Linked DNA regions of Macaca mulatta. The protein of the gene in region 5 interacts with the protein of the main gene of each other region in a biochemical or structural test. Links are inferred from orthologs where the notes say so. Each region holds a gene or a part of one and is shown on either strand. Other genes may lie near its edges. The genes, in order: PRMT1, NCK1, HCK, FGR, KHDRBS1, RASA1 and YES1.

What was found.
Region 1: of the proteins of KHDRBS1 (region 5) and PRMT1, one has a biochemical effect on the other in vitro, tested with the Homo sapiens proteins (2 studies listed by BioGRID). The link is inferred for Macaca mulatta from reciprocal best matches to the Homo sapiens genes KHDRBS1 and PRMT1.
Region 2: the proteins of KHDRBS1 (region 5) and NCK1 form a complex in vitro, tested with the Homo sapiens proteins (3 studies listed by BioGRID, with this or other methods). The link is inferred for Macaca mulatta from reciprocal best matches to the Homo sapiens genes KHDRBS1 and NCK1.
Region 3: the proteins of KHDRBS1 (region 5) and HCK interact in a biophysical measurement, tested with the Homo sapiens proteins (2 studies listed by BioGRID and IntAct, with this or other methods). The link is inferred for Macaca mulatta from reciprocal best matches to the Homo sapiens genes KHDRBS1 and HCK.
Region 4: of the proteins of KHDRBS1 (region 5) and FGR, one has a biochemical effect on the other in vitro, tested with the Homo sapiens proteins (2 studies listed by BioGRID, with this or other methods). The link is inferred for Macaca mulatta from reciprocal best matches to the Homo sapiens genes KHDRBS1 and FGR.
Region 6: the proteins of KHDRBS1 (region 5) and RASA1 form a complex in vitro, tested with the Homo sapiens proteins (2 studies listed by BioGRID). The link is inferred for Macaca mulatta from reciprocal best matches to the Homo sapiens genes KHDRBS1 and RASA1.
Region 7: of the proteins of KHDRBS1 (region 5) and YES1, one has a biochemical effect on the other in vitro, tested with the Homo sapiens proteins (2 studies listed by BioGRID, with this or other methods). The link is inferred for Macaca mulatta from reciprocal best matches to the Homo sapiens genes KHDRBS1 and YES1.

The regions. Positions count from the first base shown.
Region 1 is NC_133424.1:62,129,554-62,133,687, forward strand, and holds the start of PRMT1 (protein arginine N-methyltransferase 1), read left to right. Parts: upstream 1-1,334; 5' UTR 1,335-1,348; coding exon 1,349-1,384; intron 1,385-3,946; coding exon 3,947-4,000; exon of another isoform or gene 4,001-4,004; intron 4,005-4,134. UniProt on the Homo sapiens protein: Arginine methyltransferase that methylates (mono and asymmetric dimethylation) the guanidino nitrogens of arginyl residues present in proteins such as ESR1, histone H2, H3 and H4, FMR1, ILF3, HNRNPA1, HNRNPD, NFATC2IP, SUPT5H, TAF15, EWS, HABP4, SERBP1, RBM15, FOXO1, CHTOP, MAP3K5/ASK1, MICU1 and NPRL2.
Region 2 is NC_133407.1:39,960,492-39,963,991, forward strand, and holds the end of NCK1 (SH2/SH3 adapter protein NCK1), read left to right. Parts: coding exon 1-388; intron 389-2,333; coding exon 2,334-2,528; 3' UTR 2,529-3,070; downstream 3,071-3,500. UniProt on the Homo sapiens protein: Adapter protein which associates with tyrosine-phosphorylated growth factor receptors, such as KDR and PDGFRB, or their cellular substrates. Maintains low levels of EIF2S1 phosphorylation by promoting its dephosphorylation by PP1.
Region 3 is NC_133415.1:84,875,144-84,879,187, forward strand, and holds the start of HCK (HCK proto-oncogene, Src family tyrosine kinase), read left to right. Parts: upstream 1-1,244; 5' UTR 1,245-1,427; coding exon 1,428-1,489; intron 1,490-4,044. UniProt on the Homo sapiens protein: Non-receptor tyrosine-protein kinase found in hematopoietic cells that transmits signals from cell surface receptors and plays an important role in the regulation of innate immune responses, including neutrophil, monocyte, macrophage and mast cell functions, phagocytosis, cell survival and proliferation, cell adhesion and migration.
Region 4 is NC_133406.1:213,326,471-213,329,970, forward strand, and holds part of FGR (tyrosine-protein kinase Fgr), read left to right. Parts: intron 1-3,092; coding exon 3,093-3,196; intron 3,197-3,383; coding exon 3,384-3,500. UniProt on the Homo sapiens protein: Non-receptor tyrosine-protein kinase that transmits signals from cell surface receptors devoid of kinase activity and contributes to the regulation of immune responses, including neutrophil, monocyte, macrophage and mast cell functions, cytoskeleton remodeling in response to extracellular stimuli, phagocytosis, cell adhesion and migration.
Region 5 is NC_133406.1:208,851,414-208,854,913, reverse strand, and holds part of KHDRBS1 (KH domain-containing, RNA-binding, signal transduction-associated protein 1), read left to right. Parts: intron 1-1,867; coding exon 1,868-1,992; intron 1,993-3,094; coding exon 3,095-3,211; intron 3,212-3,500. UniProt on the Homo sapiens protein: Recruited and tyrosine phosphorylated by several receptor systems, for example the T-cell, leptin and insulin receptors. Once phosphorylated, functions as an adapter protein in signal transduction cascades by binding to SH2 and SH3 domain-containing proteins.
Region 6 is NC_133411.1:93,748,356-93,751,855, forward strand, and holds part of RASA1 (ras GTPase-activating protein 1), read left to right. Parts: intron 1-748; coding exon 749-826; intron 827-2,789; coding exon 2,790-2,947; intron 2,948-3,439; coding exon 3,440-3,500. UniProt on the Homo sapiens protein: Inhibitory regulator of the Ras-cyclic AMP pathway. Stimulates the GTPase of normal but not oncogenic Ras p21; this stimulation may be further increased in the presence of NCK1.
Region 7 is NC_133423.1:72,093,620-72,097,768, reverse strand, and holds the start of YES1 (tyrosine-protein kinase Yes), read left to right. Parts: upstream 1-1,349; 5' UTR 1,350-1,569; intron 1,570-4,149. UniProt on the Homo sapiens protein: Non-receptor protein tyrosine kinase that is involved in the regulation of cell growth and survival, apoptosis, cell-cell adhesion, cytoskeleton remodeling, and differentiation.

The DNA.
Region 1 (4,134 bases), on a different chromosome or scaffold from region 5:
GGTCTCGATCTCCTGACCTCGTGATCCGCCCGTCTCGGCCTCCCAAAGTGCTGGGATTACGGGCTTGAGCCACCGCGCCCGGCCAATTTTTGTATTTTTAATAGAAATGGGCGTTTCACCATGTTGGCCAGACTGGTGTCGAACTCCTGACTTCAAGTGATCCGCCCGCCTCCGCCTCCCAAAGTGCTGGGATTACAGGCGTGAGCCACTGCGCCCGAATCCTATCGGAAATTTTTAAGTCTCAGGCGTTTGCCAGCGGCACGCCAGAGAGTATAGCCTGCACCGAGGCCCAGAAACCAAAGAGCGAGCTCATTCCGGGATTGGAGAGGAGTGTGAGCGGAGGGAAGCAGAGGGATCAGAGAGAGGAGGGGCAGGACCCACGCATTCGGCCCTTTGCATTCAGCCTCATTCAACTAGGAACTTTTCCTGCAAATCAAGCAAAGCTTCCCGGAGGAAGTGGTGCCTAAGCTGCGCTCTGATTCTCGTTTAGAAGCTGACAAGACAAAGAGAGGTGGGCGGTCCTGGCAGGGGGAGGGACTCGGCAAAAACCAAGTACCTTGAGAGGGGTTGATGGGTTTTAAAAACTTTGAATGATTATGTCAAAGGCTAGGGATTTAATGTGTTGACTGCGGACTCCTATTCCTCACTTGCTTGGGGACCCCAGCGATGCCATTCCTCTCTCTGGGCCTCTCACTGATTCAGTTTTTCTCCCAGGTAATGAGCACAAGCTCCCTTTTTCCTCGAGACTCCCCCCGGGTTGGGAGGATCCACCGAGTGGACTAGGCGTGATCGTTCCTTTGAGCCAATCGTTGGTGCCTGAAGCCCCGCCTTCTTCCCCACCCGTGGGCCAATTGTCGTGTTCTCCTTGAGACTGGCCGCTTGGCGAGGGTGAAAGGCCGCGTGACGTCACTTCCGGATAAACCAATGGCAGCGATTAAGAGGCGGGTCGTTTTGGTGATGGACAGTTGTTTCAAGACGCCCCTTTAGCGCGGGGCTCCCCGGGAAGCTTTGAGGCGGTGCTGGGGGTAAAGGGGCGGGCATTCCTCGTGGATTTTGCCCAATCACCAGTCGCGCTTCTTGCAATAGACGGGCAGTTTTCCCCATCTCGGGTCGACTTGAGGGGGCGGGATTCTGGACGCCAGTGTTGGCAAACCCCTGACCTATGATGGACGTATTCTCCAGCCAATTATCAGACGGTATTCTCAGACGGGCCGCCTCCATTGCCAATGAAATCTTCCAGCGGGGTCGCGGTAGGCGGGCCGTGGACCCTCTGGTATAAGGCGGTCCCGGGGGAGTGAGGAGAAAGGGGGGGTCTTGGCGGCTGGAGGAGGAGTAGTTGCGGGTGAAGATGGCGGCAGCCGAGGCCGCGAACTGCATCATGGAGGTGAGCGCTTGGAGCGCCGCCGTGGGCGGGGGTCGGCTTTGGGTCGATGTTTCACGCCTCTGTGGTGGGGAAAGGGCTCTAAGTTGGCGACATGGGGTTGGAGGTCCCCCGCCGCACACGGGGGCGCCGCACGCTCCACATCCGGGGATATCGTTTGAGGTGACGGCTCCCTAGCTTTCAAGGGCCTTCGGCATCCGGCCTAGCGGAGGGTCTTATCCCCCCTCCCACGTGGAGGAGGGCTGGGGGCGCTTCCGGCCAGGCCCCCACGTGGCCGCGGCGCGGTGGGTGGGGAGGGGGTGTGCCGAGTCCGGTGGCCCGGCGGGCTCCACGTGCGGGACAAAGGCCCCGCCCCCGGCCGGGGAGGGGCGCCCGGGGGGGCGGGGAGGGGGTCCGACCCTCCTGAGGCCCCCAGCCCTCCTACCCAGGGACCCGGGCACACGTCGTGGGGTGGGATCGACCTGGGGCCCTCCACGATGTAGAGTGTCTTTTGGGAGGAGCAGTGCCTTTTACAACCTCCTTCCGAGCTCCAGGGGCATCTATTGGGATATCGGCCCTGGATTTGTGCGTTCTGGATTAGGGACTGGAGGAAAACCAAGAATGGGGCCCCCCTGACCCCATTTCCCCTCCTAGAGTTCTCCCCCTCACCCAGGGCTTTAGGTGTTGGGGGATGGGGCATGCCCCTGTGACCTCCCTCTGGGTGGTGGTGGGGCATCTAGATGGAGATTTTCCCACTAATAGGCGCCGTGCACCCCCTTGTGGCCATTTCTGGGTGTGTGGGAGGGACATCTTTTTCATGGGGCGTGTCCTGAAGCCCACCTCCCGTCGGATTTCTTCCTGGAGGGCGGAGGGAGGAGGGTACGTCCGCTGGGAAGGAGTTGTGGGAAATACGTAGGCTGAGAGCTTTACCCTCTGCTGGAGCGCTTTCTCTCTCCTGGGCCTTTGTGAGGGCGGGAGATGACCTCCCCCTTCCTGAAGCCCTGTGTAGGGGTCCTGAGCCCCGGGGTCCTGAGGGTGGGTGCCTGAAATGGTTTCAAGTGAGGTTTGGTTCTCGTGCAGCCATGTGGGGGAGGTTTCAGTCTTGCGTTTTAAGCCTTCGGGCTGGGGTTGTCTGGCAGTAGTTTTCAGTGGTGGTGATAAATGGGCCCCAGCGGGAAACCCCCGCAGCACCTTTCTTATAGGCATCCCCGCTGGCTTGGGAGAGCTGGGGGGAGGGTGTTTGGAGCCTAGTAGGTCATGGCCAGTGACGTGGCCCTTCTTGGAGTGGTCACATCTGGAAGAGATGTAATCTGATGGGGCCTCTGTCCTTCCACCCCTTTACCCATGGCATTGACTGGGGGGGCAGGTCAGCTGTAAGCTGTCAGGATGCAGCTCCCAGGGGTCACTGTAATGACTTCGCACCCTCTTGGCTGTCTCCTGCACCTGGGGCTCTGTGGGCGGAGGAAATAACTTTCCCAGAGGTGGCCTCAGGCTTGGCCGCACCTGGAAGTCTTCAGGACCTGGGATGGGTGTCTGAAATGGGGGCGATGGGCTGACTCCCCAAGCTACTTTTTTTTTTTTTTTTTTTTTTTTTTTTTGAGACGGAGTCTTAATCTGTCACCAAGGCTGGAGTGCAATGGCTTGATCTCGGCTCATTGCAACCTCCGCTTCCTGGGTTCAAGCGATTCTCCTGCCTCAGCCTCTTGAATAGCTGGGATGACAGGCACCCGCCACCAGGCCCAGCTAATTTTTGTATTTTTAGTAGAGATGGGGATTCACCATGTTGGTCAGGCCGGTCTCAAACTCCTGACCTAAGGTGACCCACCCGCCTCTGCCTCCCAAACTGCTGGGATTACAGGTGTGAGCCACCGCGCCCCCAAGCCACTTTCTGGAGCCCGCTCATTCTTAAGAGGGTCCAGGAGCTGCCCATCCTCCATGGGACCCTACCTTCGTGGGCAGAGGGTCATAAGGGAGCGGGTTGGTTCCAGCTGGTTTTGTTTGGGGCTCCTGAGTCCAAGGCAGGAGCTGGGGGCTGGGGTACTAGCTCTGGGGAAGTGCCCGTGTGCCACACCTCTATTCTGGAATCCTCTCAGACATGAGACTGGTTTGCAGAGGTGGCAGATGCCCTGTGGGCATACCCTGCCAGCCTCGTTCCCTCCTGCTATTCATGGCACCCTGGGATAGGGGTGTGTGTGTCAGGAAGTGTCACCTAATCTGGGGGAGATTAGGTGATGAGAGGGAGCGACAGCTGGCGGGGGTGGGTGCCAGTTCCCCTGGCCTGGATGGGGGAGGTGTGTGGTCAGCTGCCTGGCCAGAGAGGGGCAACAAGGGGGCAGGCCACCATCTCTCCAGCCACAGCTGGGATAGGAGACCCCCTTTCTTCTCCCCTCACTTTTCCCATCCCTTTCTTAAACACCCCACCTCATTACTTGCCCTCTTTGCCACCACTCCCCGCCAAGAAGGAGAATTGCTGGAAACCCCACCCCCCCCACCCCCCCCCACCCCGCCAGAGCCCAGGTCCCCGCGCCCAGCCCTCCCGCAGCCACTCCCAGTAGCTAATCCTTTCTCCCTGTTACTCTCTCCTAGAATTTTGTAGCCACCTTGGCTAATGGGATGAGCCTCCAGCCGCCTCTTGAAGAAGTAAATATCCTTTTGTGAGACCCCTTCCCACCCCGACCTCCACATCAATATATTTTGCCACACATCTGGCCCTTTCTTGAGGTCTAACCATACCCCTCTTGCTTCAAACCAGTTTACTGCAGGACCCCAAACAC
Region 2 (3,500 bases), on a different chromosome or scaffold from region 5:
TAACCTAAATACCGGGCAAGTGTTGCATGTGGTACAGGCTCTTTACCCATTCAGCTCATCTAACGATGAAGAACTTAATTTCGAGAAAGGAGATGTAATGGATGTTATTGAAAAACCTGAAAATGACCCAGAATGGTGGAAATGCAGGAAGATCAATGGTATGGTTGGTCTAGTACCAAAAAACTATGTTACCGTTATGCAGAATAATCCATTAACCTCAGGTTTGGAGCCATCACCTCCACAGTGTGATTACATTAGGCCTTCACTCACGGGAAAGTTTGCTGGCAATCCTTGGTATTATGGCAAAGTCACCAGGCATCAAGCAGAAATGGCATTAAACGAAAGAGGACACGAAGGGGATTTCCTCATTCGAGATAGTGAATCTTCGGTAAGTTGATTTTCAGATGTAAATACAAATAGAGCTCTATGTATTAAAAAGAAAAAGAGAAATGGAGAGGTTAAGTGGCTTCCCTAAAGTTAACCAGGTAACAAGCTGGGACATAACATAAGCATAAATGTTCCAAAGCTAAAGTCAGCATTCTTTCTAGCTATCTATTTTCAATGAAAAGAGAGTTGTGGCAGTGATGCTACATGCTGAGTTATTTGGTCTTTTCTAGTTCTGTTGATTTTGCATTCCTGATATATTTTCTGTTGCATTAAACTAAATGGAGAAAATGGAACATTGACTTCTTCATTGAATGTAGAATAATACTGTAGATTAAATTGGGAAACATTTTAAAAATTGCTATTGGATACAATGTGTAAGAAGATAGTCACTGTAGTCCTTATGACATAGGAAATCCCTGAATTTAAAAAATTGATACTAAGTTTCTTCATAAATTGGTTACCTGGAAATTGGAATACACTTTTTATTGTAATCTCAAAAAACCTATTTTAACACTGTGTTTGAAATGCATTTGCAATAAAAGGTAAATTATATTGCAATACTAGTAAACAATAAAACTATAAAACCATAAAAGTTGAAAAATAGTATGGTTTCATGGTCTCTTAGATACTGTTTAGGATATTAGAATTTGATGACACTCATTTTCCTTAAAAATGCCCTTTTCCTTGATAAAAGATATCATTACTTTTCCATTTATTAAATCATGATTAATCTTGGCTTTGCGTGAGTATATTTGTACAAAAGGGAATGTGTAATTGCACAAAATTTTGAAAGAAAATGTGTGGAAGTGGGGTGTGGTGGGGAGAGAGATTAATTGAACTTCTAATATGAAGTTCAGGAAAATGGGGCCTGTGCCTAATCCCTCAGAAAAGCAGTTGGTTGGCAGTAGGGAAGAGTGATGACATCCATTTTCTGTTAGTTGCCTGATCTGGCTCACTGTTTGAAACTTTGGGAGTAACTGTAGAAAAAGAGGCTTTTGGGGGTTGATATAGACTGTAACAACAACAACAACAACAAAAAACCTAATTAAAAAGAAAATAGCTTGAATGCAGAATTGTGTGTATTTTCTTGTGGGTAATTGAGCATAAATATAAGACAAAATACAATATATACCATTATTTTTAGCAGTATACTTTTTAAGGTTAGGTCTCAAGTAGGCATATTTTGTTTAGCCTTCACAGTGTTTTTTAAACGTTTAAATTCATTGCCCATATTTAAATATTAGGATATTTATTGTAAAAATTCAGACTTTGGACCATTTAAAATTGAAAGAACTACCAACATTGAGACCCTATTCCTGCGGGGCAACAATCACAGCTGAGAAGTCACCACTTCTTTAGATTGGTGATACACTGTCATTTTCTCTGCCCATCTACCCTTCCACTCTGACACTTGTTTACGTTATTCTTTTGGCTCTTGTAGGCATTTGAGTTTGTGGCCTTTCCTTAAAGTTTAGATTAATTCTCATTTGTGTGTTCTTCATTTTTGGGAATTCAGCGTGTTATCCCTAAGACAGCTACTGTTAGCTACACATTGAAAAGGGGTTGGGTGGGTATCTTAGACTTTCTCATGTGTTTCTCTGACTGGAGAGAAGATAGCTCTTGTTCTTCAAATATGTAAGGGATTTGCTGTGGGTGTCTACTGGTGGAGCTGTGGGTGTTAAGAGACTTTTGATTACACAGGTTTGAATCCTGGCTCTGTTGTTAACTAGATGGATGATACTGGCCAATTTATTAATAGCTTCCCTGAGACTCAGTTTTCACATCTGTAAAAAGGGTTTTGTTTTAGGGAGTAAAGGAGATAAATCTATGTAAATAATTTACCATGGTACCTAGGACTTAGTGCTTAAATTTTAGCTTTTAGTTTAATATAAAAATACTGATAGAGGGCTTTCAAAATGTTTACTGTATTTTTTTTTCTCTTTTAGCCAAATGATTTCTCAGTATCACTAAAAGCACAAGGGAAAAACAAGCATTTTAAAGTCCAACTAAAAGAGACTGTCTACTGCATTGGGCAGCGTAAATTCAGCACCATGGAAGAACTTGTAGAACATTACAAAAAGGCACCAATTTTTACAAGTGAACAAGGAGAAAAATTATATCTTGTCAAGCATTTATCATGATACTGCTGACCAGAAGTGACTGCTGCATAGCTGTAATTTGTCATGTAATTGAAGACTGAGAAAATGTTGGGTCCATCGTGCTTGATTGGAAATGGCTGTTTCTAAACCTTTATGAGAATTGACAATAAGTATTTTTATTATAATTCAGCCCATACATATATACTATGTATGCAGTGCATCTGCATAGAACAGTTCCTTATCCTTGGCCTTCTGTTTTATTGTTTTTTTTCTTTGCTGTTTTCCCTTTGCTTCTAATATTACAGTTTTGTATTTTGAAAAAAAAAATCAAATAATGCTTATCAGAATCTTTATATGGAAGAAATCCTTTATTGCCTATCCTTTGTTTCCTTGTAAAGGCGCCCTGTTCTGTTATGGTTTTTCATTATATAAAATTATTATATCTATATATGACATATGCTAAAATAAATTTCTTGGAGAGTGTTAATCTTTTCTGTGACTAAATAGCAATAATAAATGAAAAATTAGAAATTATTTCCAGGTATTATATTTGTCACAGGCCATTGTAAATACCAAGTATATTGTGTCTGCCTTAATTTTAAAAAATGCATTCATTGTCTTCAGTCGTACAGAAAGACACATGAGACATAGATTAGAAAACATGTTGTACAATTTTAATTTACAACTGTTGGAAACAAAAATCACTTTCTTAATTTTTTTTCCAGTGCTTCTCCCTTATCTGGTTATTCAAGAAAGCCAAATTGTCTCTGAGATATTTAGCTTTTCAAACTATAAATAGATGCTCTAGTGTTATTTATTTTTTTTAATCCCACTTATTTTACCAGGGCATCTTGTATTAGGATATGTTATATTTATGCCAGTGGGAAACAAGTTATGGCCAAGTTTTGCAAAAATAGGAAGCAGTGAGATACTTGGTTTTTTCTCCTCACTAAATATCAGTAATTATCAGGAATGGTATTACCTATTTTCATTTCCTCTTTTCAGCTTTAAATT
Region 3 (4,044 bases), on a different chromosome or scaffold from region 5:
TGAATGAATGAAGAAATGAGTGAAGAAATGACGGTAGCCCCGATCAGCTGGTAGAACGGGAACAGAGAGACACAGTATGATTCTTGTACATTTTGGAGATTTTGGAGGTGTGTTACACAGAATTTAGGGTGATAGCCCCTGTGTTTTCAGGAGAGGGTGTGTTCTGCCCTTGCCTGGAGCTGGGCACAATCCCATCCACTGGGGGGGGGGGTCACCCTCCAGCCTGACTCCTCACCTCTCCAGACCACCTCCCCCAGTCTGGGAGTCCTCTGAGCTGCCCGGAAGCCAGGGTGGTTCCTTCGGGCGGGGAACTTTGCATGGCCAGGGTAGTTCCTTTGGTCAGGGAACTTTGCATGGCCACGGTGGTTCCTTCGAGAGAGGAACTTTGCGTGGCGTCTGAATGGAGCAGGCCTGCGGAAGGGAAACCGCTGACCACAGACGGGCCTGGAAGTCTCGGGCCGCGGCGCTGTGGGGGCCGGGCCAGAAGGGAGGGGTCGGAGTGGTGGGGGAAAGGGATCACGATGCTTCCGGGGTAGGGTAAGGCCTTTCCAGGGTGGGGTTGGAATCTTTGAAGACTGTAGCAGGAATCCTTTAATAGGTGGGGTTAGGATCTCTGAAGGGCAGGGTTGGAGTCTTTGGACCGGCGGGATAGACCCCTGGGGATTAAAACTCTTAGGCGGCGGCAGGTTGGGATCGCGCAGGAGCAAGAGCGGTATTGGAACCCTGGGGTTAGTGTTCTAAATCTTTAAGGCAGGGTTAGAATCCACTGAAGTGAGAGTTCGGATCTTTCCATTGGGCAGATTAGAATCTTTGGGGGCAAGTTTAGTTTAAAAATCCTTTGGCGGGGCGGAGTTAGGATCTTGGGAGCATGGGAGCGGGTGCTGGGGTTCTTAGACGGGAGGGTTCGAATCCCCAGGGGTGGCATTTGGGATCCTTCGGAGACTGCGGTAGGACGCTGGGCGGTGGGATGGGGAGGTGTTAGGGAGAGTAGAGCGGAAGGAATGGAGGTTAACATCCTTGGTGGACGTGTTAGAAGCCTCCGATGGATGATGCTAATTTTTTTTGTTTTTTCTCTTGGTGGCGGGTTTGGGATCCTGCTTGCAGGAGACGGAGGTTATGACCCTTGGGGAGCAGGTTAGGAACCTGGGGTGGCTTCTGAGTCTTCGGGGCGGCGTTAGGACACTTGGGGCGGAGTTAGCATCGCTCAGGGCGCGGCTAAAGCGCCCAGATGGCCTGCGGGCACCACCGCGTCCCTGGTCCCAGTCCGGGAGCACGTCGGAGGCTTAGAGGCGAGTGGGAAGGGACCCAGACAGTGCAGGGCGAGACACGCCCGCGGCACCAAAGCCCCTGCGAGCGCTGCCCCCGCCTCTAGTTCTAGAAAGTCAGTTTCCCAGCACTGGCACCCCGGAACCTCGGGGGCTGCCGAGCTGGGGGGGCGCTCGAGCTGCGAGGATCCGGGCTGCCCGCGAGACCAGGAGCGGGCGCCCAGGTGAGTGCCGCGCACAGGGGACCGGGAATATCCGGCCCGCGAGGGGTCCCAGGCGGCGGAGGGAGTCTAGGGGAGTGGGGAGGGCTGGTTACGGGTGCTGCTGAGGGCAGCGAGGAGAGACGGGAACGTCGGGGGAGCCGCGGGTAGCCTGTGATGAGGGGTCGACAGCCAGGGGAGGGTGCCCAGGAGAGGGGCGGCACTGCTGCGGACTGCTGGATGCCAGGGGGAGGGGAGGGGAGGCCCGTGCAGTGACTTTATCCACCGCTTCTCTGGGCTGTCCAGGTTCCCCTTCTGCGGCGGGGTGGGGGGGATTTTTTTTAATTAAAAAAAAAAAAGAAGAAGAAGGAAGGGATGGGGCTTCACAGAGCCTGGGGGGGAAGGCCCTTACGGTTCCCGGTGGGGGCCGGGTCACGCCGGGTTGGCAGCCGGCTTGGGGAAGGGGGCAGTTGGGCGGAGGCCTGACGTGTGAGCCACACCCAGGCCGGCTGCAGCTGGTCGGCTCTCTGCCCCTCCTCCCACAGTAGGTCTAGGTCAAACCCCTAAACCTCCTGGCCCAAGACTGCCATGCCCTGACACTTTCCTCCTTGTTGGACGAATTCTCCCTCTCAGGATTCGTTTCCTCATCTGTAAGCCGGAGCTATGAAGTCTTTCTTGCAAGGATGCAGGAAATTGTGAGAGGTGGTGCCTGTGAGAGACAGTTAGGCTAGTGGGTAGGGGAGGGGGCTTCTAGAGGCAAACTGCCTGTTGGGCCTGGGGTAGAGGATTTGGCCTTTCTTTGCTTCTGTTTTCACAACTGTAGGATGGGGAGAGTAATAGTACCTCCTTCACAGGGTTGTTTAGAGGATTAATTGGATACTGAAGGAGCCGGGTAGGGTGACTCACTCCTGTAATCTCAGCTTTTTGGGAGGCTGAGGCAGGTGGATCTCTTGAGGTCAAGAGTTTGAGACCAGCCTGGCTAACATGGTGAAACCTCGTCTGTACTAAAAGTACAAAACTTAGCCAGGCGTGGTGGCACATGCCTGTAATTCCAGCTACTCTGGAGGCTGAGGCACGAGAATCACTTGAACCTGGGAGGTGGAGGTTGCTGTGAGCTGAGATCGCGCGGCTGCACTCCAGCCTGGGCGACAGAGAAAGACTCTGTCTCAAAAAAAGAAAAAGAAAAAAAGAAAGAGAGAGAGAGAGAGAGAGAGAGAGAGAGAGAAAGAAAGAAAGAAAGAAAGAAAGAAAGAAAGAAAGAAAGAAAGAAAGAAAGAAAGAAAGAAAGAAAAGGCAAGGTACTGAAGGAAAGCTCTGAGAGTACTGTCTGACAGTACACAGGTTTAATGTATCTTAACATTGCCCTAGCTAGACACATGGCCCCGCGTTCTCAGACTTCAGCCTACATCAGCATCACCTGGACTGCTTGTGAAAACACAGATTGCTGGGCCGAATACTAGAGTTTCTGATTCAGTAACTCTGTGCAGGACACTAAGAACTTCCATCCCTGGTGATGCTGCTGCTGCTGATCCAAGGATGGCACTTTGAAAACCACTGGGGTAGCCTATGCCTGGCACAGAAAAAGGCCTCAATACATATCAGTTGCCTTATCCCATGGTTTTTTCTTTATGGTCCTTTTTTTTTAGGGGAGGGGGTGACAGGTTGAAATACAGAAAAGTGGGCCGGGCGCGGTGGCTCACGCCTGTAATCCCAGCACTTTGGGAGGCCGAGGCGGGCGGATCACAAGGTCAGGAGATCGAGACCACGGTGAAACCCCGTCTCTACTAAAAATACAAAAAATTAGCCGGGCGCGGTGGCGGGCGCCTGTAGTCCCAGCTACTCGGGAGGCTGAGGCAGGAGAATGGCGTGAACCCGGGAGGCAGAGCTTGCAGTGAGCCGAGATCGCGCCACTGCACTCCAGCCTGGGCGACAGAGCGAGACTCCGTCTCAAAAAAAAAAAAAAAAGAAATACAGAAAAGTGAAGAGAATAATATATTAAATATCCCAAGAATCCACCATCCAGAATTAACAGATGATAGCATTTTGTTGTGTTTGCTTCAGATTTTAAAAAATTAATTTACTAAAAGTAACAGAAAAATTTGAAGTCTCCCCACCTTGTGTCACTCTCAGTCCTGTTTCTATCCCTCCCCAGGGGGCAACCGCTGTCGTGATTACAGTCCTTCCAGGCTGTGCCTTTAAAAATGGATTGTGTATAAGTGTATGCATAAACAGCACATATTATTGTTTTGTGTGCTTTAAAAATGCTATCTATGCGGTGGCTCATGCCTGTAATCTCAGCTGCTCGGGAGGCTGAAGCAGGAGAATGGCTTGAACCCGGGGAAGCGGAGGTTGCAGTGAGCCGAGATCGCGCCATTGCACTCCAGCCCGGGCAGCAAATGCGAAACTTCATCTCAAAAAAAAAAAAAAAAAGCTATCTAACTGTGAGACTTTTCTGCAATTCTGAGAAAGGGGATAGCAGAGGAGCATATTTGCCCCTTCTTATCATTAAGTTGTCAAAATCTATCCAGGATGAGAAATAGAAAACAGAGGCCTCATTCATTCCTTCCAGCTGCTGTGGA
Region 4 (3,500 bases), about 4.5 Mb from region 5:
ACCATGCCTGGCCTTGATATTATTATTTTAGACAGAGTCTTGCTCTGTTGCCCAGGCTGGAGGGCAGTGGCTCAATCTTGGCTCACTGCAACTTTCACCTCCTGAGTTCAAGCAATTCTCCTGCCTCAGCCTTCCAAGTACCTGGGACTACAGGTGCACGCCACCACACCTGGCTAATTTTTGTTAATTTTAGTAGAGATGGGGTTTCACCATGTTGGCCAGGCTGGTCTCAAACTCCTGACCTCAAGTGATCTTCCTGCCTCAGACTCCCGAAGTGCTGCGATTACAGGTGTGAGCCACCATGTCCAGCCCCTTGTTATTATTATTGTCCCCATTTTACAGATGAGGAAACTGAGGCTCATAAAGCTTTTAAAAAGCTATCCTCACAAATGTCATACATATATGAGAAAAGAAGGGATTGAAGAGACTGCAAAGTGAGAATCCAGGACTCTGTGATTGATTTGGGTTATGGGGAGTGGGAGGAATCAAGGGTGACTCAAAGTCTCCTTAAGGAGCTGGGTGGATGATAGCACCATTTGCTAAGGCAGGGAACACAGGAGCAGGTATAGGTTCATGAGTTCTAGGGGGTACTTGTTGGATTGTGGTTTGTGGAGAGGAACATCCATGTGGAGGAGGCTGCCAGCAATTCGATTAGGTTGTGCTTTGTATGGCAGGCAACCAGCCCATGCTAATCCATGCCCCTGAATCAGCCCAAAGGAAGGGGCACCTTTTCCTAATTGGCACTAAGACTCCTCAGTTTGTTTGCTATGGTCCTTGCAGAAGTCACAGTGGGCTAGGGCAGAAATGTGGAACTCATGAAAGTAAAGATGATCATTAAAGCTAAATAGGAGGGGGCCAGGGGCAGTGATGCATGCATGCAATCCCATCACTTTGGGAGGCTGAGGTGGGTGGATCACCTGAGGTTAGGAGTTCAAGACCAGCCTGGCCAACGTGGTGAAACCTTATTTCTACTAAAAATACAAAAATTAGCTGGGTGTAGTGGCAGGCAACTGTAGTCCCAGCTACTCAGAAGGCTGAGGCAAGAGAATCACTTGAACCTGGGAGGTGGAGGTTGCAGTGAGCCGAGATGGAGCCACTGCACTCCATCCTGGGTAACACAGCGAGATTCAGTCTCAAAAAAAATTAATTAATTAAAATTTTTTTAAAAAGCTATATAGAGGGTTAAGGAAGAGAGCAGAGAGTGAAAAAGATTGGCTCTGGGACCCCACTTTGGGGAAACCTGCCCTCGAAGGAGAAGGAGCCACTGGAGAAGTGAGGAAATCCAGACCAGGCCAAGTCAGAAGAACCAAGAGAGCGCAGAAGCTTCAGGAAACTAGAGAGGGCGTGTCAGAGGCTGCCACTGGATTTGGCAGTGGGGGTGACCTTGGTGAGAGATTTCTCTGTGCGAGGGTGGGAGGCGGAGGCCAGACAGCAGAACCTGGGAGGCAGTGGGAGGTGAGGAATTGGAGACCCAAGTGCGAAGCACTTTTTCAAGTAAAGGGAAGGCGAGAAGATACAGCAGAATGTTGATGGCAAGATGGAACTTAGAATAGTTTCCTTTGGGGAAGGGAGAAATGTGGGCATGTTTGGAGGTTGTTGGAATGGAGAGGCTGCATGCAGGTGGAGGCTGCTGGCAGGAAGTGGGTATGACTGAGCAGGAGCGGGTGGGCATCGCTGAACAGGAGTGGGCGGGCGAGGTTCAGAGGTCAAGTGCAGTGAGGCCCAAGTCTGGGGAAGTGGTAGGAGGCATGAAGGAGAGGAGGGACAATGATGCAGAGGACAGGAGGTTTGTGGGGAGCTTCATGCTTGTGTCCACATCTTGGAGCCAGTGTCACCAAGCGCTGAGAGGTGCTCAGTGCAGTGTTGTGGTTACGGGTAGTGTGGTTAGGAGCACAGGCCCTAAAGCAGACAGCCTGGGTTCCTGTTCTATCAACTGCAGTCCTGACTGTCTAATGGGGGTAAACAATGGTAGCTATCTCACAACGTTGTTAGGAGAATTAAGTAAATACATACATGTATTAAGGCAGACCCTAGCATGAAATACGTGCTGTTATTATTATACTGATTATTAAGGAAGTAGCTAATGTCATGCTTGTGGGAGGGGGGAGGGCTTTGAAAAAACTTGACAATGTGTCCTGTCTATACAGTCCTTCAACACTTCCTCCGTCCCCCTCCCGCCTGCCCTCTTGGACACACCACTTGCCAGTGCTTTCTCCTGTTTCCTGAACTGTGCCTAGTACCCAGGGGCGGACTGACTTACCCAGGGGCGGACTGACTTTCCCAGGGTCCACTAAGACTTCCATCACCCTTGGTTTGAAAACACGAGGCTCCTTTAATTCAACCCAAGATGGCCACAGGCCAGTTGCATGATCATCTGAGTCTTCTATGGCACCTGTGGTCATGTCAGCTCCCCCATTGTACCTGCACAGTTGGTTTAGGGCTACAGTTCAATCCCGGGAAGAATCACCCAGGGAGAGGAGTGATTGAGGCCTGAGGTTGAAGTTTAGACTTAGGACAACATCCAAGTCTAAGAGAGTGCAAGAAGAGCAGGAGCTGGGGCGGGAGCAGCCAGAGAGAAGAGAAGCAGGAGACCATGTTGCTCTGGAGGCCAAAGGAGGAAAGGATTTGGAAGTGGGGGTGGGAGAAGGATCTGAGTGATCTGATTACTGGAGTGGTGAAAAAAGAACTAGGGTGAGGGGCAGAGGATTTTAGGTAGATCTCATTAGCCAGCCTGTGGACAGGTCACTTTCCCTCTCTGAGCCTCAACTTCCTCATCTGTAAAATGAGTGCACAGAGGGGCTAGAGTGAGATGAACTGAGGGTCCATGGCACCCTGATGACTGGGATTGAAGCAATTTTAATTCAAGAGAAACCTAATGAGAAGAGATGCTAACCTTTGCTGGGCACCTACTGTGTGCCAGGCATTTTACATTCCCCTTCTCTGTGATCCTCCCAGCCAGGCTGTGAAGCAGGTGTACCAGCCCCATTGTACACATGGGGAAAATGGAGTATTGACTTGTGAAGTGACTGCGCAGGAGGCTGAGGTGAGGATTGAGCAGAGCACACCTGACTCTTGCCTGCCTTTCCCAACAGGTGGTACTTTGGAAAGATTGGGAGAAAGGATGCAGAGAGGCAGCTGCTCTCACCAGGCAACCCCCAGGGGGCCTTTCTCATTCGGGAAAGCGAGACCACCAAAGGTAGGGGTGGTGCCATGCGCCAAGGTGACTGGGAGGCCCAACCATTGGGGTAGGGCTAGGAGCGGTAGGGTGCTTGGGTCAAGGCCAAGACTGGGACCAGGTCCTAGGGATGCTGCTGTCGGGCCTCTCCCAGCTCCCAGACTAGGGGAGAGGAGAACAGCAGATCCAAAGTGATCCTTCTCCACAGGTGCCTACTCCCTGTCCATCCGGGACTGGGATCAGACCAGAGGCGATCATGTGAAGCATTACAAGATTCGCAAGCTGGACATGGGTGGCTACTACATCACCACGCGGGTTCAGTTCA
Region 5 (3,500 bases):
TCTGATATTTAGAATGTTCCACTGATTTTAGGGAGTATATGTATTTTAACTATTCTCAGTGAATCATATAAGCTTTCAGTTGCTGCTCATTCCTTGGGCACTTTTCCCTCATCTCTGTTAGAACTCCTGTTATAGCACTTAACTATACTTCATTGCCACCCCTATAGTCTGGGAACTCCAGTATATAAACAGTGAAGACAGAGACCAGTCTGACTCGCTCTGTTGTATCTCCTGTGCTTTGCAAGACAGATGCCTGGCTCTTAGTAAGTCCTCCATAGTGATTAATGATTGTACCTATTATAGCTCTCCCTTCATCTGCCTCTCCATACCGTAGGAAGCACTCAAACACTTGCAGTCACTCAATGAATGAAGTTCCTTAATGGTAGGAAATCTTTTTTTTTTGTTTTTGTTTTGTTTTTTGTTTGTTTGAGACGGAGTCTTGCTCTGTCACCCAGGCTGGAGTGCTGTGGCCGGATCTCAGCTCACTGCAAGCTCCGCCTCCCGGGTTCCCGCCATTCTCCTGCCTCAGCCTCCCGAGTAGCTGGGACTACAGGCGCCCGCCACCTCGCCCGGCTAGTTTTTTGTATTTTTTAGTAGAGACGGGGTTTCACCGTGTTAGTCAGGATGGTCTCCATCTCCTGACCTTGTGATCCGCCCGTCTCAGCCTCCCAAAGTGCTGGGATTACAGGCTTGAGCCACCGCGCCCGGCCAGTAGGAAATCTTTTTGTATGCCAAGTTTCTATCTAATGAAACTGTCTTAACCTGTGAATTGAAAGTACTTTTGGGTGATGATGGATATGTCTGTGGCCATAATGGTGGTGATAGTTTCATGGGTGTATACTTATCTCCAAACTCATCATGAATTGTATACATTAATTATGTATGGGTTTTTACATATCAGTTATACTTCAATAAAATGTTTTTTTAGAAAGTACCTTGTGGCTGGGCCGGGCGCGGTGGCTCATGCCTGTAATCCCAGCACTTTGGGAGGCTGAGGCAGGTGGATCACCTGAGGTCGGGAGTTCAAGACCAGCCTGACCAACATGGAGAAACCCCGTCTCTACTAAAAATACAAAATTAGCTGGGCATGGTGGCACATGCCTGTAATCCCTGCTACTTGGAAGGCTGAGGCAGGAGAATCGCTTGAACCCAGGAGGCAGAGGTTACGGTGAGCCAAGATTGCACCATTGCACTCCAGCCTGGGCAACAGGAGTGAAACTCCGTCTCAAAAAAGTACCTGGTGCATTTTGTATCGTTTAGACATTGGCTGAATTTGGGCTAGATAATGGTGACAATATATTAAGTACTTTATGAAAAATTGCCTTTAATTAGGCATATCTACATATTTTATTAACTTCTCTTACGTCACACAACTAGTGAGTAGCAGAGTAAGAACAAGGTCTTTCAGACTCTTAAGGACTAGTATCTAGAGTACTAATGTCACTGTGGAACTTTAATGGAACTATCCATTGTATATTTAGATTATTGATTTTTGCTTTTTTCAAGGTAAGATTATATTTTGTCTTGATGCAGATTTTAATTTTTTGTTTGTTTCTTTATTCTCCTTTCCCCATCTCACCCAATTAATTTTGTTAAATCGATTTAAGAAACATTTAAATGTCTCTATTCTCACGTGAGGCTTCAGGTGAGGTTAGAAGAGCACACTACTTTTATTAGAAGCAGGCTTTGGGCTTTCTAATCAACTTCATATAACTTTAGTACTTTCAGCTAGTTTATTTCTGAAATTGGCACATTCATGTGTACTATTTGGTCTCACTATATGGTACTTCATGTTATTGCTTTAAGCAGACTTCAAAATTTGCTTTTATTTACCAGAGCAAAAATTTAAATTGTTTTTCCTGTTCAGAAATTGAGAAGATTCAGAAAGGAGACTCAAAAAAGGACGATGAAGAGAATTACTTGGATTTATTTTCTCATAAGAACATGAAACTGAAAGAGCGAGTGCTGATACCTGTCAAGCAGTATCCCAAGGTAAGGCAAAAAGTGCCTTGCATCTTTGAGTTATCTTTATAGTTACGAGAGAGTCATGGACTCCTGGGGATTGTGATGCTTTAGAAACTTAAGCCTGTGAAGCTTCTCTTTCATGCTTGCAGTACCTGTTTCTGGCAATTGAAATATCTAAGTTCTTAACTAAACATAGTTATAGCCAGGAAGGAAATGTAATAATCTTTTTATTATCAAAAAGTTTCTTTCTCTAATGACTGCTCAGGCTACAAGTTCAAAGAAAAAAAAAAAATAAAACCTGAAGAGTTGCTCTCTGTCAAAAGACTAACCTGAAATCTAAATAAAAGGAAATATAATACAAATCCTCAATTGGATGAAGTTAATTTTATTTTCTTACTAAAAGTTTACTTTTAAGTAAATGCTTTTTTTCTTCCTTTTTTTTTTTTTCTTTTTTTAGGAAAGCAATTAGTTACATTTAGTTTATCCAGCGTGCTATCAAAGGGTGCTATATAGTCTCTTCTGCTCTGAGGTCACTGCGTTAACAATGTTTATGTATGTTAAGGCATGCATAAACAGGCACAGTGGCTCATGCCTGTAATGCCAGCACTTTGGGAGGCCAATGCAGGCAGATTACTTGAGCCCAGGAATTCAAGACCAGCCTAAGCAACATAGCAAAACCGTATCTCTACAAAAAATACAAAAATTAGCCTGATATGGTGATGTGCACCTATAGTCCCGGCTACTCCAGAGGCTGAGGCGGGAGGATCACTTGAGCCCAGGAAGTCGAGGCTGCGGTGAGCCATGATCATGTCACTACACTTTGGCCTGGGCAACAAAGTGAGAGCCTGTCTCAAAATAAAGTAAAAAATAAAATAGTAAAGGTCTTAGTGTATTATGGAAGATGGCCAGAATACATCAGAAAAGCCAAATTCAGGTCTAGGAACTGCCACTTTCTAGTTTCATAATCTTAAACTAATCACTTTATTAATATGGCTTCAGCGTCCTTCAGTAAAACGGGAATGGTAATACTCTACCTTTGCAGGGTTGTTTAAAATCAAATGAGGTAATTTATGTGGAGATGTTTTTATATAGTAGCATGTATATTTAGAAATCCTTTATTTTCTGTCAGTTCAATTTTGTGGGGAAGATTCTTGGACCACAAGGGAATACAATCAAAAGACTGCAGGAAGAGACTGGTGCAAAGATCTCTGTGTTGGGAAAGGGCTCAATGAGAGACAAAGCCAAGGTAAGCTCACATTAGTGAGGCAAGAGGACATCCTAATGCCTTCTACTTGCCCAGAATGCAGTATAGATGCCTTATAGAGGCAAGAATATTGTGTATGTACAGAATGTGGCTCCTTTAAGTGTGCATTGGGTGCAAGAGATTATACACCAAGTTAATTTACTTGCTTGGCAACCCTGGAAGAGCCTAGGTGTGCCCTGGTGATAGTTTTCTTTTGGACTTTTGACTGCATAGTAATGGACAGAGCAGTAGCATCTTGTGCATTGGTAGGATTGTCTGGGAAAACTTGAAA
Region 6 (3,500 bases), on a different chromosome or scaffold from region 5:
CACTGAAATAGCCAACAAACTAAAGACATAATTGAATAAAGCAATAGAACACAGCTTTCCAGAAACATGTAAAAACCAAAGTGAATATTTAGATTTATTTTTAATAAACCTTAGTTCTCTTCTTTCCCCCAAAGCACTAAACATTTAAAAAATATGGCTGCAATTTGATTTGAATATTAGGCTAAAATGATTTTTAAAATCTAATGTTATATTTAAAAGCTTAAAAATAACCCAAATCCCCTTATACATTTCTGCCTGTATCATGGCCTAAAGTATAGATTAGCATGCTTGTCATGGGATCAGTCATAATGTTAATCAGTTGGTTTTAGAATCAGCCCTCTCCCCTTTTCAAAAAATGTATCAAGTTAAATTCCACCTAAGCTTGCCTCAAATGTAACAGCTTAATTATACTTGACAGTTAACTTCCCCAAGGTAGTATGTTTGGGAGAAACAGTTTCATGTAAATTTGATTTTTTGGCTAATTAATGGCCACTCGATGTGTTTAATACATAAATTCAAACAAAGATTTATACAGAATTACAACTGTTTTGGTTGTTTTATTGTTATTACTTTATTATTTTATTATTGGTTATTGTTATAAAGTGCAATATAGTCCGAGAAACGAAAGGGCAGTCTAAAGAAGGAAGGAATTGTTGAATTTGGAAAAAAAAAAAAAAAAACCTAACTGATGATTTGGAAACCAAATAAACTAGTGTATATTTCTTTGAAATGCTTTTTTTCTTTGTAGGATTGGATGAAAGGTCTGCAGGCATTTTGCAATTTACGGAAAAGTAGTCCAGGGACATCCAATAAACGCCTTCGTCAGGTGAAGCTTAATTTTCTTTGATTTTTAATTGTCACATTTTGCTCTAACGCTTCGCTCTTTTTATTTTTATCTGAACTGTTTTGGACATCATATCTTAGGAGGGGTTAAGCCATGCTGCCACTTGCTTTAGTAGCAGGAAAATGTTACTTCTTTATGAAAGAGAATGTTCTTTCTTAGTCCAAAATGCCAACTGTTAAAAACATAAGAAAGATTATTCTTCCACTTTAAATAACAATACTAAACCAACACAGCAGAAACTGTTCTGTTGGGCACTTAATTTTCCTTTAAAAAATTATTTTGGCCTTTTTCAAAAAAGTAGAACATTGAAAAGATCATCAGATTTATAGCACAAATCTCAATAAACTTTTTTGGGATTTTCATTTTGAAGAACAGCTTTTAAAACCTACTGCTTAACTCTTAGGAAATATTTAATCTTATTTGAAACTGTAACATGCCCTATACTTCGAGTTGTGGAGAGTTAAGCTAGGCTTTCTCTTTTTTGCCTTTACAAGGGTAACTTTATAACCTCCATTTCTTGGCTTTTTTTCTTTATAGTAATCCCTATATAATTGGAAGAAGTTAGGCAAATTTTGACATTCTCGAGGTTTTAAAGAAAGTTGAGTACAATATTTACTGACCAAAGTGTCTCCTGTTCTCTTCATGTGAATATCTGATAAGCTGAGTGATTAACATACTGTTCTACTGGGAGTGGATAATGGTTGACATTTAGGTGACTAAATAGTCCCTGTAACCCAAAGTCAGGCTCTTCGCCAGGGACATTTAAGTAGACACACAATCGCCATGTCTTCATAACATTGTAACATTTTGTAAGCTATCAAAAATCAGATTGGATTTTTGCAAATAAGAGCAAGTTGTATTTTGTATGAAACTTGAGCCATTAAACTGACATTTGCAGGTTTAACATAATCATAGCTAACATCTCAAACACTTTTTATGTATCAGTGGGCAGTGAGATTTAGTGACTTACATATACAGTTGGCCCTTTCTATTCATGGGTTCTGCATCACTGTAATCTACCAACCATGGGTCAAAACTATTCAGAAAAAAATACAATAAAAAGATACAGTATAACAACTATGTACATAGCATTCACATTGTATTAGGTATTACAAGTAATCTAGAGATGATTTACAGCATACAGGAGGGCATGCATAGATTTTATGCAGATACTACGTCATTTTCTATATGGAACTTGAGCATCTTGGGCTTAGTTATCTGCCAGGAGAGAGAGGTGGAGGGTCTTGAAATCAGTCCCCCACAGATAACTGAGGGATAACTAGTTTGTAATCCTTATTACAACCTGTAGTGTAGACTTTATACTTACATATTAGAAAGATGAGGCTTAGAGGGACAGATTTGTCCAAGGCCACACAAGTAGTATATGGCAAGAGAGAAAGAGGACCTGATACTAGAAGGTAGATGATCTAAGTTTTGGCATCCAAACTGACAGATAGCTTAGTTTCTTTAGGTTTGTATCCTTTCCTGTAAAATAAGAAGGTAAGGTCAGTGTTTTAAAAGTGTTTAGCTGTGGAATTCTTCTATAGAAATAGAATCTTCCAGATAAATATTATATAACATACGGGATTTCGATGAGTAGTGACAGTTGTTTACTTACATTAGTAAAGAATTTTCTTAACTTCATTTTCTCTTTATCATTGTTTTATGGTAGAAAAGATGTATTTCATTATTTCTCCAAGTATATAGTGGGAGAAATAACTTGTAAAATAAAATTGCATTGTTTTATCTTTTTAGGTGGGAAGAATTATTTTAAATGTTTGAATATTTTAAGTATGTCATATATAAAGGAAAAATATAACCAAAGCTCATATTTTCTGAAAAAAGGGGAAAATAAATCATTATTTTTGGCTTTGTATCTTAGAGTAATTGCTTTTGAAATGTGCAATTATAGAAATCTGGGGTAATTTTTTTTTTTTTTTTTTAGGTCAGCAGCCTTGTTTTACATATTGAAGAAGCCCATAAACTCCCAGTAAAACATTTTACTAATCCATATTGTAACATCTACTTGAATAGTGTCCAAGTAGCAAAAACTCATGCAAGGGAAGGGCAAAACCCAGTGTGGTCAGAAGAGTTTGTCTTTGAGTAAGTCTTATTTTATCATTACATTAATCATTTTCTTTTACCATATTGCATTTCTTTCTATTTTTTTTGGTCTCTAAACCATCAGAACAAGGTACCATATTCAGGTGTATATATTTTTTTTTTTCTGTTGTATTTGTTTACCTTTATTTGTGAAGTGCTATGCCCTTGGTTTTTCCACTTAGTTATTAACATGAATTATTAGCAAGTCAAAAAACTTTACTAATCCACACATACAAAATGTTTACTAGGGTTTCCAGTACTTATTTGAATGAATTATTAGTTTAGGAGGTTAAAGATGGTAGGAAAAGTGTGTAATTTGCATGTCTTCTGTATACCAAATAATAAAATACGTTGTCAATCTGGTTTTAGGTCTAGCACACTCTTTTTTTTTTTTTTGGCAGAAATGGGGGTTTATTTGATACTAGAACTAAAGAAATAAGGTAGTTTGATGCCAAATCATTTTGTTAATTCTTTTTCTCCTTGCTCCTTTAGTGATCTTCCTCCTGACATCAATAGATTTGAAATAACTCTCAGTAATAAAACAAAGAAAAGC
Region 7 (4,149 bases), on a different chromosome or scaffold from region 5:
CAAAGACAAATGAAGTTTTAGTAGCTAAAGAAAATACAGCACCGTTCCACATTATGTGTATCTTTAATGCCTATGCCTACCTTTCGTTCATTTAGTGAGCTGAAAAAAAAAATGTTCAAACCCTTATGTGCATTTCCTTAAGTTCCTAGAACACCGAAATTCTGACACGTATGACTGTACTATTTCGTATCTGTCGATGATTCTGAATTTCACTAAAAACCGCAAAGGAAACCAATAGTCACACAACTATTCTGATAACCCCACCAAAGAGGAAATAAAGAAAGGAAGTTACTCCGAAAGTCTGACAAGGCAGAAGTGACTGCAGCAGAAGTGCCTCAAGGGTCAGTTCATGAGGACCTTGATTAACGCCCCCACCCCATCCTTCCGGGTCCTCCCCCTTCTTCAGCGACTGGGTACGAGGCTCATAGGAAAGGTGCGCGGCTTCAGACCGACACGATTCCAGCTTGGCTCCTCCACTTTCGGGGTCGCTGTTTCCACAGCTTTCGAGCAGGATAACCATACTTGTTGCACTTCCCTCACTGGGCTGCCGCCAGCAGCATATAGACATACGCTGTCCCAACATAAGCCAAAGCCACCATTACTGAGATAGTCGCCAAACATAACTCGGCTTCGGTTCCCCTCCCGGCAAGGCTGGTTCGACCTACAGTTAACAGGAAGCTCCTGGGGGCAGGGACAGGATCCCTGCCTCGGAAGGAGGCCAGACGTGAACGTTGTTTGGACGGCATCTGGATAGTGACGAGCGTGTGAGTAACGCCCCCGGCTCACGCGGTTGGGCTGAGATTTTACTACCAACGACAAAGGGTGCGGAAGCATAGTGCTGAGAAGCAGCCAGCCAAAAAAACTCAACCCCGTCCTCCCCCGCAAAAACAAGCCCCAAAGCCCTGGGAACTACGGAGAGCCGGGCCAAGGAAAAGAGAAAGGCAGAGGGGCGGAATCGGGGCGCCCCATTCAATCCCCGCGGCAGCCGAGCGTCGGTGGGTTCGCGGCTGGGAAGGGGCGCCGCGGGCCTGCTCTCCGGGCGGGGAAGCACCTCCTCCTCACGCCCCCTCAGCCTGCACCGCCCCCGGGAATCCGCCCCGGACCCCGCCGCCATGTTGGGTCGGGAGAAGTGACACGGACCGGTCGCATACCCAGACCACAGCAAAGCGGCCCAGAGCCCGCGGAGGGGACCTGGCGGGGGCGTAAGCGCCGGAAGGCTGGGGGCCCTGGAGCCTGGCCGGCGTGGCCCGAGTTCCGGTGAGCGGACGGCGGCGCGCGCAGGTAGCCGCAGCCCCCGCCCCGCGCCCGCCCCCGCCCCCGCTAGAAGTGAGGGGGCGGGGCCGGGGGAAGGAGGTGGAGAGTGAGGCCGAGGGGTGGGGAGCCAGGGAACTCCCTCGTCCTGAAGCAACGCGTCCCGGGCCGGCTCTGCAGTGGTTGCTGCAGCCGGGCGCCCCGGGACGAGGAGGTGGAGGAGGGAGAGGGCCCGCGGGCCTCGCCTCCGCCCTCCGTCCCCTCCCGCCACCTCGAGCTGCGGCAGCAGCGACTCATGAGAGCGCGGCCGGAGGACAGGTAAGGACCGGGTGGGGCCCCGCGGGCGGAGGGGTCCACCCCGGCACGGACAGGGCTAGGCCCCAGCGCCCGGAGCCGCCAGCACCGCCGCGGTTCCCCGCCCCCGCGGGCCAGAGTCGGGAAGTTGGGAAGAAACTTCTCCCCTCCCCCGGCTCGCCCCGCGGGCTCGTCTCGTTCCCCGCGCTACCTGCTCGCCCCTGACTTGGTCTCTGCCCCATTCAGTCCTGCCGGGTCCCGCCCAAGTCCGACCTGAGGTCCCAGGGGCGTGGGGACACTCTCCACCGCTTGTCTTTGGGGTCGTGTGGACAGCCCGGCGGCGTGGAGGCGAGGTTTATTTTTGCCCACACGGCCGAAGTGGGGGCGAGGGAAGCGGTCCCTTTTCGGTCCTAAAGGCTGGGGGTCTGTGTCTCGGCCGACGCCGGTAGCAGCTGTGCGGGGAGAGGAGAGGGTGTGTGGGGCGAGTGGGTGAGCCTCTCGGGCTTTACTCGGTTTGATTGAAAACCGCAACATGTTTAAAGTTTTCCTTTGTTTTGGATTGGGGGTTGGGAAATTTACCATTCAGCGTCCACTTTTTCATGCCACTCCGCCTCCCGTTGCGTTCGGTTCCCTGTCCACATGTGTTAAAGAAAATTTTGTCTTAAAGTGTGTTTTTCTTCTTGATAATTGCTTCCAGCTTTCACTTTATTGGGCATGGAGCAGAGTTGTTTTAAGAAGCTCTTTGAAAATCAAGTCTGGTGTAGGGACTTTAGTTTTTGTTTTGAGTAGGACTTAACAGTTCGGATTTGGTTGAATTATTTTCTGCATAATTAATTGATATAGGCGTGGAATAACATACGGTCTAATTTGTACATTATTAAAGGAAATAAAGTCTGGTGGAAGCACAATTTTATGTCCATACCATTTATTATGTATATATGTTCCACGGATGTGTGTTTTCACATAGTTGATTTCACGTGTATATAATATGATTATAGTATCTTCATGTATTATAATTGTAAGATTAGTGCCAAAGATGTCTTGATAATTTTAAATGTGTTTAAACCATCCTGTTAAATTTCTAAAGTTAAATAACTCACTAAGGAAAATATTACTAAATGTATACACATGACTGCATTTAAGGAAAAGTGCATGGTAAATCTAATAACTGTCACAGTGCTTGGCACACGGTGGACAGGAAGCATTTTGGTCAGGTAATAAAGGAGTATCTTGTATTAACCAAGGATCTTGTATGCATCACTTACGATTTTCATATATTGTACAGTAAGGAAGTTTTACTTTAGCAAATAATATATATGGTTTTGTTGTTTTTGTTTGCTTATAAATGTGAGACCCCTGCCACAATTGACATGTAAGAAAAGGAAGTTAAATTGTATTTTAATTTTTGGACATTAGCTAAAAGTCGGTGGAGATTTTAAATGCTGGTTAACATTTCAGAGGGTCCTACATTTGAAATAGACAGTTGCCTTTGATCTGAAAACAAAACAGTTTATATCCATGTTTCCAGGATAAAAGATAAAAGGGCTCTTAAAATACATACTCTGTTGTAACCACCGTAATGTTATAATAGCTTTAATTTCGCAGTTAGGTTTTGCTGACTTCATAAACCACAAAATTGATTCCTTTCTGTTCATCTGAAAGTGAAATTACAGCTTTGACCTGTCTTCCTGGGTTAGGTGGAATTTGTCTTATGGTCGAAGTATATAACATTAATACATGGGCGTTTTTTTGTGTGTGTTTTAGTTCAGGAAATTCACAAGCTGAAAAATTGTTTATGCAAGTAGAATTCCTTCGTGGTATGTATTGATAAAAGAATAAATGTGCTAAAAGACTAGAAGTAAACCTGTATAAGCGAAATATTATCAACCGATGGTGTAAGACTTACTCAAAGTTGAAATTTGCATCATGTTAGACAGTAAATAATTTATTCCTATGGGTAGTTTTTCTTTACAACATCAGTGTAGGCATCAGTTATTCTATTAGCATTATAGTAAGAAAGAAGACTAATGCCAAAAAAATTTAAGTGATGCTAAACTCTGGTGTCGCCCAAACTTGGGTAATTAAAAAAGAAAAAACCTGCAAGGAAATTTCTGTGAACGTAAAGATAGAAGCATAGAATACCTGTGGTTCTATGAAAGGAAATATATAGGAAGAGGGAGGAGATTGTGATAGGGACCTGGCTTCTGAAGTGGTGACAAAGTTGTTTTAACCTGATAGGAGTTACCAAGGGTATTGGTTTTAGTGTAATACATTAAGCCCTACGTCTGTATGCAGAATCTGTTTCTATGTTTTATTTTACATGAATTTTTTTTAAGGAATCCAGTGTATAATGTACTATATGAGGTGCTTGGTTTAAGAACATAATTTAGGCCGGGTGCGGTGGCTCAAGCCTGTAATCCCAGCACTTTGGGAGGCCGAGGCGGGCGGATCACGAGGTCAGGAGATCGAGACCATCCTGGCTAACCCAGTGAAACCCCGTCTCTACTAAAAAAATACAAAAAAAAAACTAGCCGGGCGAGGTGGCGGGCGCCTGTAGTCCCAGCTGCTCGGGAGGCTGAGGCAGGAGAATGGCGTGAACCCGGG